3 linked regions of the Caenorhabditis elegans genome follow. The protein of the gene in region 2 purifies or fractionates together with the protein of the main gene of each other region. This does not show direct contact. Each region holds a gene or a part of one and is shown on either strand. Other genes may lie near its edges.

Region 1 (6,275 bases), on a different chromosome or scaffold from region 2:
AATTCGATTTTCATACCACAACTTTGGAATTCACCACCGTTACATCACGAAACCATTCAAAACTGCCACATTGTGCGACAAGCTGAACATTTTAAATTGAGAAAGTTACTCATAATTAATATGATACCGATGGCAAAAAGCTGTTCGCGTGTTCAAATTTGGCTTTAACAGTTGCTCCTGGAGTCGGCGGAAAGTTAAACTTTTCCGAAGGAACGGTGATGCAACAATGATCACTGACAGATCCATCCAAGAATGCGACTCTCCACTGAAAATAATGATTTTACGAACTAATTAAAAATAATTAAAGAAAATACCTCAAACGAATCTCTGAGCTGATCAATCAAAACGCCGTATTTATAAAAATGCATTGTTTTGCGGTGATAATCATCGGCAAGTCACAGAAACTCGTAAATCTGAATTAAAAATGTTTTAAAGAAGTCCAAAGCAAATCTGAACACTTTACGCTGAAGATTTAACCGAATTTCACTATTTTCAAATTTAGAAATCACTTTTTAACAAAAAAATTAGCTAAATGAAAGCGAAAAATGGGAAAATCTCCGTTTGGACCGAGCAGGCATGCACTGGTGGCGTGGTGAGACCTGTGAACCGACATGCATGCACCTTTAAGTGTGACTGTAACCGGATTGAAATTTTCAGGCCTACAACGGTGGAATTAAAATTGTTGTGAAGACTTGTTCGTTTGGTGTAGACGATGATATGTCGAATTTTGAACTGTACAGAAATAAGCCATAAAACATTTTGATGCTAATTTCAAGTTTTTGCGAACCTAAGCAAATTCAAAGAAAAAAGGGCGGAGTTGGTCTGAAACTTCTCAGTTCTCACTTTCCAGCTGCTTCCAAAGTTTTTCCATGATATTTGGTCCTTTTGCCACTATATATGTAGTTTTTGACTATTTCCCCACAGGCGATACTCCTGCTTTAAAGAAAAATGTAATAATGACATTAAGTTTAAAAAATCCCAGATTTTGGTGATTTTTCCACTCTTGCTAAAATCTCCCATTGACAGTACTCCACCATCAAACAAGGACAAACTCAAGAAGTTTAAACAAACGATTCGAATGTCTATTTGTTTGAACTTTCTCCCAATTCTTTTTTTATTTACAAACACATTTCCTCATTCTTTCTTCCCATTTTTTATTATAGTTTTCGATGACTCTTTGCAGAAAAAAAAAACGAGAACTTTTGCTTGTTTAGTTAACATTTGAGATATTGAGACAGTTTGTTCTTCTATTTTTCAACATTTATATACGATATTTTTGAAGAATATTTTCTCTAAATTGATCTCAATTGTAATTCACAATAGAAGCCTATACATATCCTAACTAGCATCAATAATGTATAATTCCTTTTCAACCGTGACCATTTCAATTGAATTCGTTCCGAATATCCTCACTTTCTCTTTCAAAGTGTCTGCCAACCTTTTTGAAAAGACACGAAAATGATGATCTGTTCGCATTTGGGCAGGTATTTCACAAGTTTTTGCAATTTTATAGAACTTGGAATTTCAATATATCCGCAGAGCATTTATTTTGCGATTTTTGAGCAGAATTTTAAATAATAAGTTTTCATAATATTCTCAGACCTTTATATTTCTGTCAATTTTCGTGAATAATGTGATAGTGAAACATTCAAATTTCCTCACAAGTGTTCTGTAACAATATTCCCGAAAATTTTCGTGCAAGAATCTATTTTGCAAAAAAAAAAAATCAAAAGTCATATTAGGGGGACGCAAAAAACGCCTTTCGAAATCGAAAATCAATCTCGCCCCAACGCCAATTTTAAACGCTCCGCCCCTAAACATTGGGTCTCGTTAGGTAAAACCGTAAATTCAAGTTTTTTCCACTTTTCTGTTGCTTTTAATATTTCTTTTTAATTTTAAAATTAAGTTAAGAAGTGCATGATATAGTGACATGATATAGTGGGAAGAAAACGGTTTTTGATTCAATTTTAATTTTAATTTTTCATCATTTTTCACGCAAAATTCTAGAAAAATAACGAAAATGTTTGAATTTCCCAGAATACCTTAAAAAATACCAATGACAAATAATAAGCTATAATTTTTTTTGTAGCAAAATTGTTAAATTTTCTAATTGTCAAAGTTAGGAAAGTTTCCCCAAAAATTCTATTTAATTTCGAAATCAAAAGTATTTCAAAATTTCTTTTCTAAAATTCCACTGACTCATCATCACATCTCTTTTCTTTTCGAAGGTCTCTTTTTCGAAAAACCACTCCCTATTTTTGTGGACAATAAAAGTGTTCAGACAGTTTCAAATGACTCATCGCAGTTATTTCGTTCTCAATATATTTCTGCCTTATTTTCGAAGCATAACCAGTTATGAATCTCTTTCAATTTAATTTTATTTCCGTTTAAAAAGTAGGAATCAAAGATGAACTGACGTCAATTTTCCACTATTTTGCAGACTTCTTTTCAATGTTTCACAAATATTTACACTCATTGGTGGACGTAATACTTGAAACTTCCCTACGAAGAAAATAAATAAAAAATATTATCCAACTGCGAAATTACGAGAATCTTGAATTCTGCCAGCCTCATAGGGAGCTATTAGGCGTTTTAGGAAAATTAAAATATTTACTTTAAAAATCCTAAAAAAAATAAATCTGAAACGCTATCAATAAAGCATTCAGAAAGTACTGCACTTCCCACATTCTATAGATTTGCTCATAAAATTTGATGCATTGGCCGTGTTCACACATACTTGATACATCATATTTTACAAGCAAATTCGGTTCACTTTTTCTTTGTACTATATTGAACTGTCGTGTAATCCCTGATCCAAAAGTGCAAAATTCTTTACCACATTCAATTCTCCCATTATCCAAATACCTCAAAAAGTCTACCTGAAATATATACCTCAAAGTTCTAGAAAACCGACATAATGGCAACTGCAAAGATCCATTTCAAGCCGTATTTTGATGAGGTAAGCCTGTGGGAAACTAGTAAAGTTAAGCCGAAAATTGTAGGTTGCCGCCTCGGAGCAACTAGAGAAGGCTCTTAGAAACAAGGAGAAACTGAAGATTTTGGAAATCTTGGTTTCGGTTAATAATACACAGAGACAGATGGTAAGATTTTAATGGTAGGTAGGCATGCCTGCCTACTCACCTGCCTATGTCTAAAAGCTCCATATTTCCAGATCCGCACACCCTACAAAACTCGTTACGGAAAGGATTTGGAAGATGAAATCAAAAAAGCATTTTCTGGAGATTTCGAAGATTTTCTCGTTGCTCTACTTCAAACTCCTACTAAACTAGACGTGACTGAGCTGAATCGATCTGTGAAGGGTCTTGGAACAAATGAGAAAAATTTGATCGAAATTCTGACAACTAGGACTAACGAGGAAATTGAAGCGGCGAAGTTAGTTTTTAAAAAGTTTTTCGAAATTAGAAGCTTGAAGTCAAAACTAAATTTTACAACAACAGAAACAATTGGGAAGTAGGCATGGTATAGACATCAGGCGGGAACGTGAAAACACATAGGTAGGCAGCGATTTGGTGCAGAGTAGGCACTTAGGCAGGCATAAGGTAGGTCCGTGGGTAGACAAACATAACCCAGACAGCACTATGGTTATGAATAAGGCATAGGCAGACAGTCTTGATGTAGGTCCCGAAGCAAGGTATAACGTAGGCACGCAGAAAGGCGGAGATTTCAAAAGTATGAATCAGTCGTAATTCCTGTGCGTAGGCTTTTGAAAGCTAGTTAGGTCTCCCGAAAACGAACCCAATGATAATTTTAAAGTTGTTTTCTAGAAAATGTCCTTAAAAAAATTAATATCAACATATGTTTTTTCTAGAAACACTTACTTCATGACTTACTCCAAATCATTGGAAGATGCAATTTCTGCTGATACTTCTGGAGACTTCCGGCGTCTTCTCATTGTCATTCTCCAAGCAAAACGCGAAGAAGGTGGATTCGCTGATACATTCAAAGTTGGGCCTCACGCTGCTCAAATTCTGAAAAGTTTTGACAAAAAGTCTGGAGTCGAAAAATTCGATGCGTTCAAGATCTTTGCAACATGCAATGGAGCTCATATTCAAAAAGTTATTGAAGAAGTCGAGAGACAATCTGGAAAAGAGTTCCAGAAACTTATTGACAAGGAGCTCAGCGGAGATTTCAAGAATTTGGTGTTGTCTCTTATTGAGACTTCGAGAAATAAGCCTCGATATTTTGCAAATTCGATTCATTTGGCAACCAAGGTAGGTGCAAGATATTTGAAATCTTAGTTCAGAGAAATTTGACTTTAGGTAAATGACAAAAATTTCCTGATTTGATTTAAACATTTATCTTTTTGTTACATGTAGGAACTTTCACAAGTCTACACACATATCGTGCTTAACTTCCTACGTAGGCACGGAAGTAGGCACAGAAGTAAGCAATGTAGTAGGCACGCGTGTAGGCGTAAGGCTTTAGATAAAATTAATCAACTATGAAGATATAGGAAAAGAGTTAAACTAAAGCTGGTAACGCTAAAAACATTCTAGATAAAAACCCTCAAAGTTCAGGAAATATTCATGTTTTCAGGGAATGGGAACACGTGACAAGGATCTTATTCGTATTCTGGTATCCCGATCGGAAAATGATTTGGTGATCATTGAACACGAATTTCAAACTCTTTTTGGAAAACCATTGACTCAGGTGAGCCTATCAAGTAGACTGATATTACCTGCAACGTTTACGCCAAAATGTGTACTGAAAATAGAACAAAAAATATGTTGATATTTCCAAATACAGTTCAAAATACAAATTTCTATTTAAGATCCCCAGAGCGATGTTCGTAATATTTTCTATAGAAAACCATATTGGTTTCTCTTTATAAATTTCATAAAATTGCAGCTAATCAAGGAGGAGTGCAAGGCAGAATACCGTGATGGTTTGACGATGCTTGTCAAGGGAAATCCAAGACCTTAGAAAATGAAATACAAACTATCGATTAAAATGCTTTCTGTTTGAAATTGCTTTACATTGAAACTACTTTATAAAATCTATTTCTAAACGTTTTTATTTTAATAAAAGTTTGAAAAATGACAAGCGACAATTCCAAAAAGTGCTCACAAAGTTTTCTTGAAAATTAGCATTACATGTCCCACGTTCAATGCTGGTCAACATCCCATTATAAATTTCTTATGATTTTCGAGCAGCTGACATCTCCCGAGTCGGTTAGAACAGAACAGGACCTGAAGCAATTGTACCTCAAAACCCCGATTATTAATCGAAATATTTTTCTATAGAATTTCTGATTAGACTCATTTAAAAGTCTGTTAAACTAAATGCAGAAAAATATTTATTTCACTGTAGAACAATGTTTCAATTAATGTGCCAGTCCATAATTTTGGCCATTCTCTGTTTCATCACGAACTCTTGATCTTTTTAAGATTCTCCCCTTGAATCAAATTCAAAAATTTGTTATGTAGCAAAACTGCAGACTATAATTATCCATAAGGTCCCCTCCCGACGCCTTTTCCGTTTCCTTTTAGATTCCATTTCTTTTGTTCTTCATAGTGACCCTCACATGGATCGAAAATTGGCGTGTTCCTCGTTCATCGGCATTCGATTCCTATTCATTCAGGCTCTATTTTGCAATAATTCAAACCATCTCTCTATGTCTTGTCGGGGAAGAAGAGGTCATGGTGGGGTTGAATTTCCTCCCTTTTCCCACCGTAATTCAGGCGCCGTTCCGTCGATTCCGCCATTTCACCGCCGACACACACACGTTGAAATGATGGAAAAACCCCTTTTGATGAGAGGAACGGGCGGTATGTGAAAACAGACTGATGAGTGATTTATTGAGAAAATGTCAATGAAATTTAGTGTTGAAATTTTGGAATTTGTGACAGGCAGGCAGGATCCTGGCGCCTACCTGCCTGCCTGTCGTGTCTTGTCGGCGTTTTTTTTCAACATAAAAGTTAGAGTTTAAAATTTTAAAAATCGCAAAAATTGAAAATTTTTAAGCGTTAAAATTATAACTTTAGTTTAAACAACTTTAGACGAAAAATTCAAATTTTTAACTTTTCAAAAAACATTTTTGTTCGGGAATTTCAAAGTGTTAATTTTTAGAAAATTATTTGGCATAAAAAATTTATAATAAAATTGTTTAAAGAATCATGATTTAAAAAAAGCTAGCATTTGAACAAAAAAAACAATTTCTAAATATTTTTCCCTACAATACATCTACCGTACCACTATCATATCTACAGTAAAATATCAAATCCGCTGCTAACTTTAAGAAAAACTCTTTATAT
Region 2 (5,390 bases):
CAATGCAAGCGTTTTCAAACGTGCGGTATAATTGTTTCTGACTCCAATCATTTAGACCAAACAAAAAAATCAAATGATGATTTCACAAAAACTACAGTAGCAATAGTTCCATCTTCCCTTTCGATATCCCAACCATCGGAACAATCAAATTCTTGAAAACCGATTCTGAAATTGGAAATTGATACCGTATTTCCTATGTCAGTTTAGCATCCCTACAGATTTTTAAGTAAATTAGAAATTTATTCACTTGTTGCCAGACCTACACATTGTTTGAAATAAATAAATAAATAAATAATTTTTTTGCCAAAGAACAATCATTTTTCCTTTTTACCACTAATACCTGTATACTTTTTCTCGGCGTACTTCGTCCCATCGACTAACTACTATTTCATTCAACACCACTACCCAATCTCTTATTTTGAAATCATGGTCCAAGTGGAATCTTCTCAATTCTTTCATGTTTCCGTTTAATCAATTACGGATAAAATGATTCAAGTATTCTGGAGTAAAGCTATGGTTCCATATTGTCAGTTCTTCACACTTCATCAATTTGAAGTCCTCAAGTGTAAATCCTGGATTGAAGTAAGAATCCAGTCGGCGAATATTGAATAAGTTAAATTTAAAATTACAGATAAATTACGATTTAGTTTATTATAATTATTAATATTAATGAGGAAATCAGTACTTACTATATTTTTTGTCAAAGTATAAAGTTTTGTTAATAAAGTTTTGTTCCAGTTTTTTGCTTGATTCTCTAGTAATTATTCGAGTACAAACCAGGGGTGGGCGGCAAATTTACCAAATTTGCCGAGTCGAAAAGTGTGTGGGTTTGAAGCCCGATAGCATAATATTTTCAGTCCGGCTGATCTTTTTGATATCCGTAAAAAGCTCAATTTGTTGTTGTTATTGACCAAATCGTTTGGATCATTTATGAGTTTTCTCTACAATGGACAAAAATAAAGATTGTTGTTGTTTACGTTTTGCAAATATTAAAAGTTATTTGAAAATCTCGTACTTGATTAAAAAACTCCTCTCATAAAAAGCAGCACGTTTGCAACTTTAAATCATAATTTTGTTTGCCATGTACTTCATTCTCTGCCTCCTAGCAATTGGTGTCAATGCTCAATTCACTTCAACTGGTCAATCAAGCATTGTGGATGCTCATAACAAATTGAGATCCGCTATTGCAAAGAGTACCTATGTTGCGAAGGGAACCAAAAAAGAACCAGCAACTGATATGAGGAAAATGGTAGGTTTTAAATTGCCCAATTATGTCAAATAAAAAACTTAAAGTTTTCTTTTTTCAAGAGTTTCAAGTCATTCAAGTTGGGGTAACTTTTGGCAATCATATTTGAACAAAAAGCCCAATGATGATACTTCAATAAACTTTTCAGGTCGTGGATTCCACCGTAGCTGCGTCGGCTCAGAATTATGCGAATACGTGCCCAACTGGACACTCAAAGGGAACTGGATATGGGGAAAATTTGTATTGGTCTTGGACTTCTGCGGATGTTGGATCCTTGGATTCCTATGTGAGTCGCATAACTTTTCTGGGACAGAAATCAATAATTCTTTCCAGGGAGAAATCGCCGCTGCCGCATGGGAAAAGGAATTCCAAGACTTTGGCTGGAAGTCTAACGCAATGGATACCACCCTATTCAACAGTGGAATAGGACACGCTACTCAAATGGCTTGGGCAAACACCAGCTCCATCGGGTGTGGAGTCAAGAATTGTGGACGAGACGCATCGATGAGAAATATGAACAAAATAGCTGTAGTCTGCCAGTATAGTCCACCGTAAGCACTGAAGTTTTTGATTTTTTTTAACTCAAAATTGTTCAAAAATATTCAGAGGAAACACTATGGGACGGCCGATTTATAAGGAAGGAACTACGTGTTCCAGCTGTTCCGGATCTACTAAATGTGACACTGCTTCTGGGCTTTGCGGATAATGAGAGATTTCACTTTTTGTGTCTGTAATTTTTTAATTTATTTGTTTTGTTTTAATCTGGGAATTAATTTACTAATGAAGCATTTGTTTTTTCTTGGTGATTATATAAAAAAAATAAAGCGAAAACTTTAAATTACACCAAACTTTTTTAAAATTTACGAAAATGCACACAACATCAAGTGCAGGCAAAAGTAAAACATTCTACTTGCCTATGTGCCAACAACAAAATTAGGAAGAAAATTCACTTCTTCCTAATCAGAATACTTGTTGACTTGACTCAAATGTTCATAATTACTGATAAAAGTCAATTCTTTGGTCTTGTGCTGCCCACTTCCGATCATACGTAGCTTACGATTTCTCAATTATCATACAATTTTACAGGTTTTCGCGTGATAAGACTCCTATAAAATGAACCGCAGTGATAAACATATTCGTGTTGACTTGCACTTTTTTCTCCAATTATGAATTACTTGTTGCTGGTTGTGGCGCTTGCTGTTGGCTGCTCCGCTGATTTCGGCTCTTCCGGACAAAACGGAATTATCAATGCACATAACACTCTGCGGTCTAAAATTGCAAAAGGTACCTACGTGGCAAAAGGAACTCAGAAATCGCCGGGAACAAATCTGTTGAAAATGGTATGTACATAACTAAGGTTCTCAGATTTATTTTTGATTTCAACTTTTCAGAAATGGGATTCCGCAGTCGCCGCATCCGCCCAAAACTACGCAAACGGGTGTCCGACGGGACACTCTGGAGATGCAGGCCTTGGGGAGAATTTGTATTGGTATTGGACAAGTGGATCTCTGGGAGACCTCAATCAATATGTCAGTCATTTAGTCTACCTTGTGCCTGCCTGCCTAGACCTACTGCCTATTTTGTTCAAATTTTGCCTAAATACAACATGCGAATATTGGCAGTAGGCAGGAGGCAGGCGCTTGATACCTTCTTTATTTTAAAAGTTTCTGAAATTTCTATAATCAATCTTTTCATTCAGGGATCTGCTGCGTCGGCATCATGGGAAAAAGAATTCCAAGATTACGGATGGAAGTCTAACCTTATGACTATCGATCTCTTCAACACAGGAATCGGACACGCGACTCAAATGGCGTGGGCGAAATCCAACCTGATCGGATGTGGAGTCAAGGATTGTGGAAGAGACTCAAACGGCCTGAACAAAGTAACCGTCGTGTGCCAGTACAAGCCGCAGTAAGTGAGATTTGTTGACTAGTCTATGTTGACTGTGTCTGCGAATGTTGTGTTTTGTGTTGTTCTCTAGGATAGGTTTGCAAAAAAGATAAATTTTTGGTCACGTTCCCTGAAACAAAATCCAAAAAATTAGGCAATTTTCAACAAATTTTGATCATTTTGAGGAGATCATTAAAAACAAAAAACCCAATAAAAATTATACAAAAATACGAAAAATATTGTTGTTGGCGAAAAGTGAACTGTGCTTCGACAACTGGTAAAGTAGTCTTGAACACTTTGTGAGTTAGGATTTTTCTGAAGAGTAAAAAGTAGTTTTAGGAAAATTAATTTCAACCGAGACAAAATTTTTAACATAAAAAAAAATTGAAAAGTGTATGTGCGAGAGAGCCCTGTTGAATACAAGCTACTGTTTGCTAATACATCAATTTTCAGAGGAAACTTCATTAATCAATACATCTACGTATCGGGAGCAACCTGTTCCGGCTGTCCATCAGGAACGTCATGTGAGACTTCCACAGGGCTCTGCGTCTAAACTTTAATAATGCAATGTGTTTTCAAACTTTCTGTAGATAATAAATAAAATTGTGTGCTAGTTGAAAACCAGAACACAAACAACCTTTGATCAAAATGCCTATGTAACAAATGCGACGATTACGTGTTCGAAATCCTATTGGCAGATTTGGAGTATAATGAGCAGTTAGAACTTTATTGGGAGGTCAAAGACTACTTGTGTCTAGAGATGTATCTAAGTTATGAAAAAAGTTCAAGCTATAGGTTTTTTGACTACGATATCTTGTATGTATTTTCAAAGATGTTGGTGATTTAGTTGAAAGTTAACAGCTTGAAAACGTTTTTATTTTTCCGTTTCTGACTTCCATGAATTTCAAAAAATTACCGTATGTCTGTATTGTTACTATCTACTGTGTGAAATTTCAAAAAATGAAATCCAACTTCAGCCTCCCTTTTGTATATAAAACAAACAATGTCAACATAAAACTCTTACCAATTTAGTCTATTTCTATTAAAGCACACGTTCTTTAGTTTTTTCCCTCTTCCCATGACTTTTAGTTTCCCTCACGGCGACGACGACATCCAGTTGTTCATACAAACTAAAATCTCCTATAAATATCCAACCTACTAGTTGTATTTTCAACAGACAACATGCACACCTTTACTCTTCTCGTTTTGGTTACCCTTCAGATTGGTAAGTTTTTTTTTTGGAAATTTTTGAAACTAATTTTCTTCAATTTTTCAGGAGCTTATGCTCAATTCAGAGAAAGCACTCAACAATTCATTGTGGACCTTCATAATAAGCTTCGTACTTCAATTGCCAAGGGAACATATGTGGCTAAAGGGACAACAAAAGCAGCTGGTAGTAATCTTTTGAAAATGGTAGGTTTTCGGCAGTTAGTTACTTTGTGATTTTCCAATGAATGGAACCTTCAGTTGAAGGTCTTTGCTAGGTTCAAGTGCTCTTCAGAGCATTTTCTAAAGTTTCAGTCGGCTTCTCTACAGATCTGGGAGCACTTGATCTGGAGTTAATTAAAGGGTCTGATGTAGAGCTGGCGTAGACTTCTTAGACCTCGCCTACTATCGCCTACTACTCACTCCTTATACCTCCAATACCATTTCAGAAGTGGGACACCACATTGGCCACCGCTGCTCAAACTTTTGCTAACACTTGCCCGAGAGGTCACTCCAATGCAGCTGGAGTTGGAGAGAACTTGTACTGGAGATGGTCCAGCCTCCCATTCTCCGGAATGGATATCTATGGAGGAGCTGCATCTGTTGCCTGGGAACAAGAATTCCAGCAGTACGGATGGACAACCAACACTTTCACTCAAGCCCTTGCTAACACTGGAATTGGACATGCTACCCAAATGGCTTGGGCTAATACTGGTCTGATTGGATGTGGAGTGAAGAACTGCGGACCTGATCCAGAACTAAATAACTATAACAGAGCTGTTGTGGTTTGCCAATACAAGGCTCAGTAAGCATTTGAAGCAAACATGCACATAAAAACGATGAATTTTCAGAGGAAACTATTTGGGTCAAGACATCTACAAGTCAGGAACCACTTGCTCAGCGTGCCCAACTGGAACCACTTGTGAAGCTGCCACTGGACTTTGTGTATAAACTTGTGGAAAATGATTGAAACGTAGATAATATTTCAACACTGCCCATTGCATTCCAATATTCTTTCCATTGTGTAATAAATTTTCTTATATTTTTT
Region 3 (6,173 bases), on a different chromosome or scaffold from region 2:
TTTGTTAAATTTTTTAAATGCTCGAAAACTGCTTCACATAAAAAATTTACAAATACGGCCCACATCCAATTTTTGGTTTCAAACAGATTTTACATGGATTGTGCTCGAATTTTAGCGAAAATCCATTTAGTTAAGCCAGAAAACGTTTTTCCTTTTTTAGCCCTTTTTATTTTTTAAAAATTGAAAAATCATAAAAACATTTTTGGAAAATTATTTATTCAATTTTTTGGCAATTGTATTTGCCCATTACGGTCCATTTTCTATGGTTTAAATCAGAATACCGAATTGCTTTTCTCCACTTTTGAAGTTAAATATTTGAAAAAAAACTTACTGCAAACGTCAATTTATAAATAAACAATTTCTCATGCCATTCTGTTTTGACCAAAAGTAATACTCCAAGCGTGATTCCAATTATTGAGGTAGCAATACTGATCCCACAATGTATGTAAACCCAGGTCTGAAAAATTAAATTTTCTGAAGCAAAAAAATAAATTGCAAGCCAAACCTGAATACGGAGCCTAAAACAAGTCTGCTTTTTTTCATTTTCTGAAAAGTTTCCAAAAGGACCTTGAATGTTTAAATATGGATTTCCTGAAAACAAAAATTTTGAACGTAAATTATGGAAATTGTGTATGAAAATATGTCTCAATTAGTTGCTCTAATTGGTTTGGTTTGTAAAAAACGTTTTAAAAGTAAGAACCCAAGAATTTTAAATTTAGACTAAATTATTTGCTTTTTAGAAATAAAAAAACATTTTTATATTTTGATATATAAAATATATGTGTGAAACTTACCTGAAATCATTTTTGTTGTAAATTATGATTCCCAGCTACAACCTTCAAAGCAGAAACAAAACGAAGAGTGGAGCAGAGAATGTTGAGCTCAGTTGACAACTGTTACACCATCATTTCATTTCAATCACATTGTTGTTTCTCACTCTAATTCTCAACCTTATGTATCACTAACATCTAATAAATTTTATTCGATTTTCGCATATTCTTTCATCTCAACTGATGTTTCTGAATAATCAAGTGTCAATTTTTAAATTGCTGACAAAAATACAACCGTGTTCATGAATTGCACTCTAATTCTTCTCATAACCCCACAGTTAACTGAAATGCTGTTCAAATGACCACTTGCTTTTGTGTCATACACCCATTTTGCACCCATTGATACTTTCTATCCGTTCCAAGTGTAAACTTTTCTCTCTATCACTTTTATTTTTGCAACAAGTAGATCAAATGATTTATTAATGCCTAAATAACCAGTTTTTATGCAGTACTGACAATCTTTGTAGGTTTGTCTTCTTCTCTTCGCAGCAATGCGAACATCACTTGAACAGTTTCATCGAGACCATATTCTGGATTCCATCCCCAATCCTTACGTGCTTCACTGTCATCCAATGACATAGGCCATGAATCGGCTGAAAAAAATTATTTTAGTTTTTTTAAAAGAGGTATTTCTTTTTGCAAGTCCACTTGCAAAAATGATCATATATCACCTACCAATAGACTGCCTTGTTGGACAGATATCGTAATCAATCTCGAAACCTGGCATCACTCTTCGAATTGCATCAGCAATTTCCTCTGGTGTGAATGAGAATCCCGTTACATTGTATGTTCGCCTCTTCAATGATTGACTGTCAGCAGCCAAAAGTTGAATGACTGAAGCCATACAATCAGTGTCGTACATCATTGGAAGACGTGTGTCTGGTCGAAGGTAGCAGGTGTGCTTGCCTTTTTGAAGAGCGTCGTAGAAAATTTGGATTGCGTAGTCTGAAAGGAGGATAGTTTTGACTGTGTACGTGAGAAATATTCTTTTCAAAAATGTATCAACTGATCAACTTTGACCACTTTTTGATACCGTTTGTCTGCAAGGAAATTATCTCTAATCGTGTTACAAAACCTTTCTAATTGAAAAGGTCGTATCAAAAATTAGTTGGGAAGTAATTCGAAACCATTCATATAGGGCTAAAAGGACCAAATTTCATAGTAAAACTTTTCCAAAAGTTTTTGGAAAATTTTTATTGCCAGTCAGAAAGTGGCAATTACTGAGTTTTGCCATTTTTCAAAAAAAAAAAATCTAAAACATTGTTGCATGTTCAAATCCCAATGTTGAACTATGAACATTTTCAACATAATCAAACAGCTGTAAGAAATTTTTTTCTGATTTTTTAATCGACGACTTGCAAAAGATAGGTGAAAACTGAGATTTCACCTTTTCAAATTTTTTTCTCTAAGTTTTATTATAATATTTGGTCATTTTAGAATTGACCGTACTTCATCTTTAAAGGAAAAAAGTTTCAAATTCTCGTTTAATTATTATATAATTTTACTCACCAGTAGTTCCACCACCTGGCTTTGTCGCTGAGATAATACCCGGGAATCTCATGCTTCTGAAATCAACCCCAAACCGATGATTGAAATATTCTCCGAGACGTTCTGCATATACTTTACTGACTCCATAAATGGTTGTAGGACATTGTACTGTAAGATCTGGAGTGTTTTCTCTTGGAGTTGTTGGTCCAAAAGCTCCAATTGTGGATGGAATGAACACTTTTAGCTTATGTTTTCTGAAACAATACAATGTCAAGATATAGTCCAATACAAGTAGGAACTTACGCAGCAACTTGCAAAATGTTCTCAACTCCTCTACAATTCACTTGCAGAGCCAACGGAACATTTGTTTCTCCAACAGCTGATAGAAGTGCAGAGAAATGAACAATTGTGTCGATGTTTTTGTTAACAACGATTTCTTCAATAGATCCTTGATTCAAAATATCCAGGTAATTGTAGTCGGCTAAAATACACAATAAATTAATTTTCTGTTGAAAATATGGAAAGCAGTTTCAACTTACAAACATCTGTAGCATTTGCAGGAAGACGAACAATATCACTCATAACAACGCATTCAGATCCATACATGTACTTGTAGACTGAATTTAAACCTCTTCCAAGCTGCCCAAGAGATCCAGTGATTAAAACTCGAGGAGCTTTTTGTGTTTGACTGATTGTTTTAAACCGTAATAAAGGATCAACTGGTAAAGGTGAATAGTTTCTTCTGGCATTGTGAATTCTTCCAAAAACTCGCAAGTTTTTCATTTTTTGTGTGACACGGAAGCAGACGAAGAACAGTTGATAATCAAAAAAGTTAACAGTTAGAAAAATGAGTAATCAAATCAAGTGTAGTTATGTGGGAATTTTCTTAAAAGAGGAACCAGTGAGGTCGCCTGATCAGAGACTTAGACATCGACGCCTTCTGATTTCAACGAAATGGGTGGAGGGTTGATCTTATAACTTGATGACGACGACGACGAAGACATACACTCATTTGTCCTCTTCCCACACGTGGTCATTGTCTAATTCAATTATCACGCAATTTGACGGATGCTGCCTGCTGAAGGCCTGTCCCCCCCCCCCCCCCAATTGCTAGAGAGACGAATCAAAGATAAGTATGTACCTTTTTTGTTCCCAACGCATACCTAGAGACAAACACGTGTTTCGTTAAAAAGTTACTTTGGGATACAGTTTTGGTACGGATGTACTCAGATTGTTCAGATTTTAAAGATTTTCGTAGGCTTTTTTGAAAAAATTATAAGAGTAAGTAGAGTGACTAATAGTAGTGTGACTGACTAGATGCCACGTGGGATGATATAATAACAAGCGTGACTGTATGATTAAAAGTCTAACATATGACACCCGTCTTGCCTTGGCTGGACTATCCGAATTAGAAATTTCAGCTAGTCACGATGATTGAAAAATGTAGGATCTGAAGCCAATATAACTAATTGAGGTCTCTCAAAATATTAATAAATTCAATTTTTTGGATAAAAAGATCAAAACATAGACTGGTAAGATTGAAAAATCAGTTAAAAATTTAAAGTGTTGTGGTATTCTAGTTTTGGGATAACTGTTGGGATCACCACTGTTAAGATCTCCACTGCAATATTTCTCTCAAAAAAGACGGGAAGTTGGTGAAAATTTCTACCGGAAAGGTGTCGTTGTTTGTCAAGCTGGCTGGGCAGGTTGTTGGCCAAATTTCAAATATTACTTTTAAACATTAAATTATTATTTTACAAATAATATCAAAACCACATTTATTTGTCTATTCATTTATTGAAGGAAATTATGAATCAGCCATCCATCAGTTTGTTTCATCCTTGAGCAATGGTTTCTCGCGAACTTCAAGGCGGCCACTCGTTGGACGGAGAATTTCGAACGAGCACTGTAAGAATGCACATTTATTACAACATTTCAATTAAAAATTTTTACCTGAAGCTTCTCGTCGCAAGACATGAAGGCAGCACAGTTGTCGAATTGACCACAGTAATGAGGAGCCGAGAAGATTGTCTAAAAATTTTTAATGTTCCTTTCTCTCGGCACTTTTTTTTTACTCATACCACCAATTTCCGACCAGCAAAGAACTCATAACCGTCTTGAACAACTTGATGGGCACGACAGATCAGGTCAAGCTTAAAATCGGAGCACACTTTCAGAACAGCATCTCTTCCGAATCCACACCCGGCACCTCGGTTGTTTTCCTGAATAAAGTTGATGAAATCGATCTTTTCTTATCAGAAAGTTACCATAAACCCAGAAAGACCACTAATAGGATCGGCCCACAAAAGATCAGCTACCAGTCTCTCCTTGCCGTCATGGCCTATTAATTTTTCTCAGGTTGTCCAAAGTGAAATCCTTTGACATACTAGGCGATAGTCCTCCGTGCATGCACAAGATCTTATTAGCAATGAGTCCGCAGAGTGGAAGCCAATTGAATACGTCCTGAAAGTACCGTTTTTCCTGTATTAATATTGCACCTTATTGTTCAATTTTGGTAAAAAATCAAATTTACCTGGAAAGCCGTGAACATGCGAACACTTTGATAGCGTTTCTGACACTCTTCATAGAATCCATATACCTTGTTGACAAACTCGCACTCATGGTTTCCACGCAACAAGAATAAATTGCCCGGGAATTTCACCTGGAATCATGACTTGAAAAATGTTTCAAAGAAGTTCACGCCATGGGATTTGGAAGATCGGGAGAGAGAAATAAACGTCCAAAAGATCCATCACTCCAGTTGACGTCATTTTTCAAATTTGACAGCTCATCGGAGCAGCATCAACTTTCTGTCACTTTGATACTTGAGAGATGCGCACTTTTTTGCAGAGCAATATGTGATGGACAATAAATATGTTTCTTTTTGAAAACACATTTATTTATCACATGTGTACGCTTATTTTGGAAAATCTAAGCGGTCTCTGCAAAAATCCCCTGTTTTGGCATTCTTTGTGTCAATGATTAATTCTGGCGCGTCACAATTTTTGATCCTAGCTTCTTTTTGCAAAACTTAAAGCAACAAACCTTATAAGCGAGAAGAAGAACAATGGTTTCAATGCTAAATCTTCCACGGTCCACATAGTCACCAAGGAATAAATAATTCGCAGTCGGCGGCCATCCACCACGATGGAAGAGACGAAGAAGATCCGGGAATTGTCCATGGATGTCACCGCACACCTTTATCGGAGCATTCATTTCAACCATTGATTTCTGTCTTTTAAATACATCCAGTGCCAAATCGAGAAGCTTTAGAACTCGTCCTTCCGTGATCACTTCGGAAAGTAGCTTTTCGTGAGTACTAGCGCTCAGGACATCAATTATTATGTTGTCAACGACGTCGTCTTTCATAATCTAAAACATCAAACCTTTTTAACTTTTGATTCCTGGAAGAGAAAAAGAGAACTCACCTTTCGGAAATCACTTTCAATTGAAAATAATTTTTTTTCCTAGTTTTACTCACATCTACGTGTCTTTTTGTAAACAATTTTTTTTTCACGGCGCCGTGAATAATTTAATAATTTTGTAAACCATATTGATTTATATAAAAACTGAATTAATAAAAAACAAAAAGTACCCGTAACAAGAATAGAATAGAAAATGCGAAAGCTATGAAAATGAGCAAGATATCACAAAAAATCTGCAAAGGGAATTTGTACCGAGATCGAAAAAATTGGAATTTAAAGTTGATGTTCTCTACTGCTGTTCTGATTGTCCGACACGGAAGCTTCATACCGCCAATACTCATTGCGTGCTGGTTCCGGTTCAGTTGCCAGTGGCGTATAGCTTTGTTTTCTGCAAATTAAAGATAATATTTTCCAGACTTCAAAAACAAAT

The links. The genes of interacting proteins can lie anywhere in the genome.
Region 1: the proteins of scl-2 (region 2) and nex-3 fractionate together in Caenorhabditis elegans (co-fractionation; one large-scale study listed by BioGRID). This does not show direct contact.
Region 3: the proteins of scl-2 (region 2) and F08F3.4 fractionate together in Caenorhabditis elegans (co-fractionation; one large-scale study listed by BioGRID). This does not show direct contact.

Annotation. Positions count from the first base shown.
Region 1 is NC_003281.10:4,439,176-4,445,450, forward strand, and holds nex-3 (Annexin), read left to right. Parts: upstream 1-2,905; 5' UTR 2,906-2,917; coding exon 2,918-2,959; intron 2,960-3,002; coding exon 3,003-3,101; intron 3,102-3,172; coding exon 3,173-3,393; intron 3,394-3,829; coding exon 3,830-4,232; intron 4,233-4,557; coding exon 4,558-4,671; intron 4,672-4,869; coding exon 4,870-4,944; 3' UTR 4,945-5,062; downstream 5,063-6,275. Other genes in the region: C28A5.2 (REJ domain-containing protein), read right to left, coding at 17-82, 128-265, 315-368.
Region 2 is NC_003282.8:13,055,310-13,060,699, forward strand, and holds scl-2 (SCP domain-containing protein), read left to right. Parts: upstream 1-2,400; 5' UTR 2,401-2,412; coding exon 2,413-2,586; intron 2,587-2,637; coding exon 2,638-2,775; intron 2,776-2,945; coding exon 2,946-3,157; intron 3,158-3,589; coding exon 3,590-3,689; 3' UTR 3,690-3,753; downstream 3,754-5,390. Other genes in the region: scl-1 (SCP domain-containing protein), read left to right, coding at 1,082-1,249, 1,395-1,532, 1,580-1,797, 1,853-1,952; scl-3 (SCP domain-containing protein), read left to right, coding at 4,319-4,361, 4,413-4,549, 4,792-5,147, 5,194-5,293.
Region 3 is NC_003283.11:5,408,042-5,414,214, reverse strand, and holds F08F3.4 (L-threonine 3-dehydrogenase, mitochondrial), read right to left. Parts: upstream 3,261-6,173; 5' UTR 3,102-3,260; coding exon 2,858-3,101; intron 2,800-2,857; coding exon 2,622-2,799; intron 2,573-2,621; coding exon 2,340-2,572; intron 1,776-2,339; coding exon 1,506-1,775; intron 1,424-1,505; coding exon 1,272-1,423; 3' UTR 1,214-1,271; downstream 1-1,213. Other genes in the region: F08F3.10 (uncharacterized protein), read right to left, coding at 332-457, 506-591, 795-804; C25A6.1 (Serine/threonine-protein phosphatase), read right to left, coding at 4,144-4,224, 4,272-4,349, 4,400-4,540, 4,586-4,659, 4,706-4,781, 4,852-4,980, 5,364-5,687; dmsr-7 (G-protein coupled receptors family 1 profile domain-containing protein), read right to left, coding at 6,017-6,131.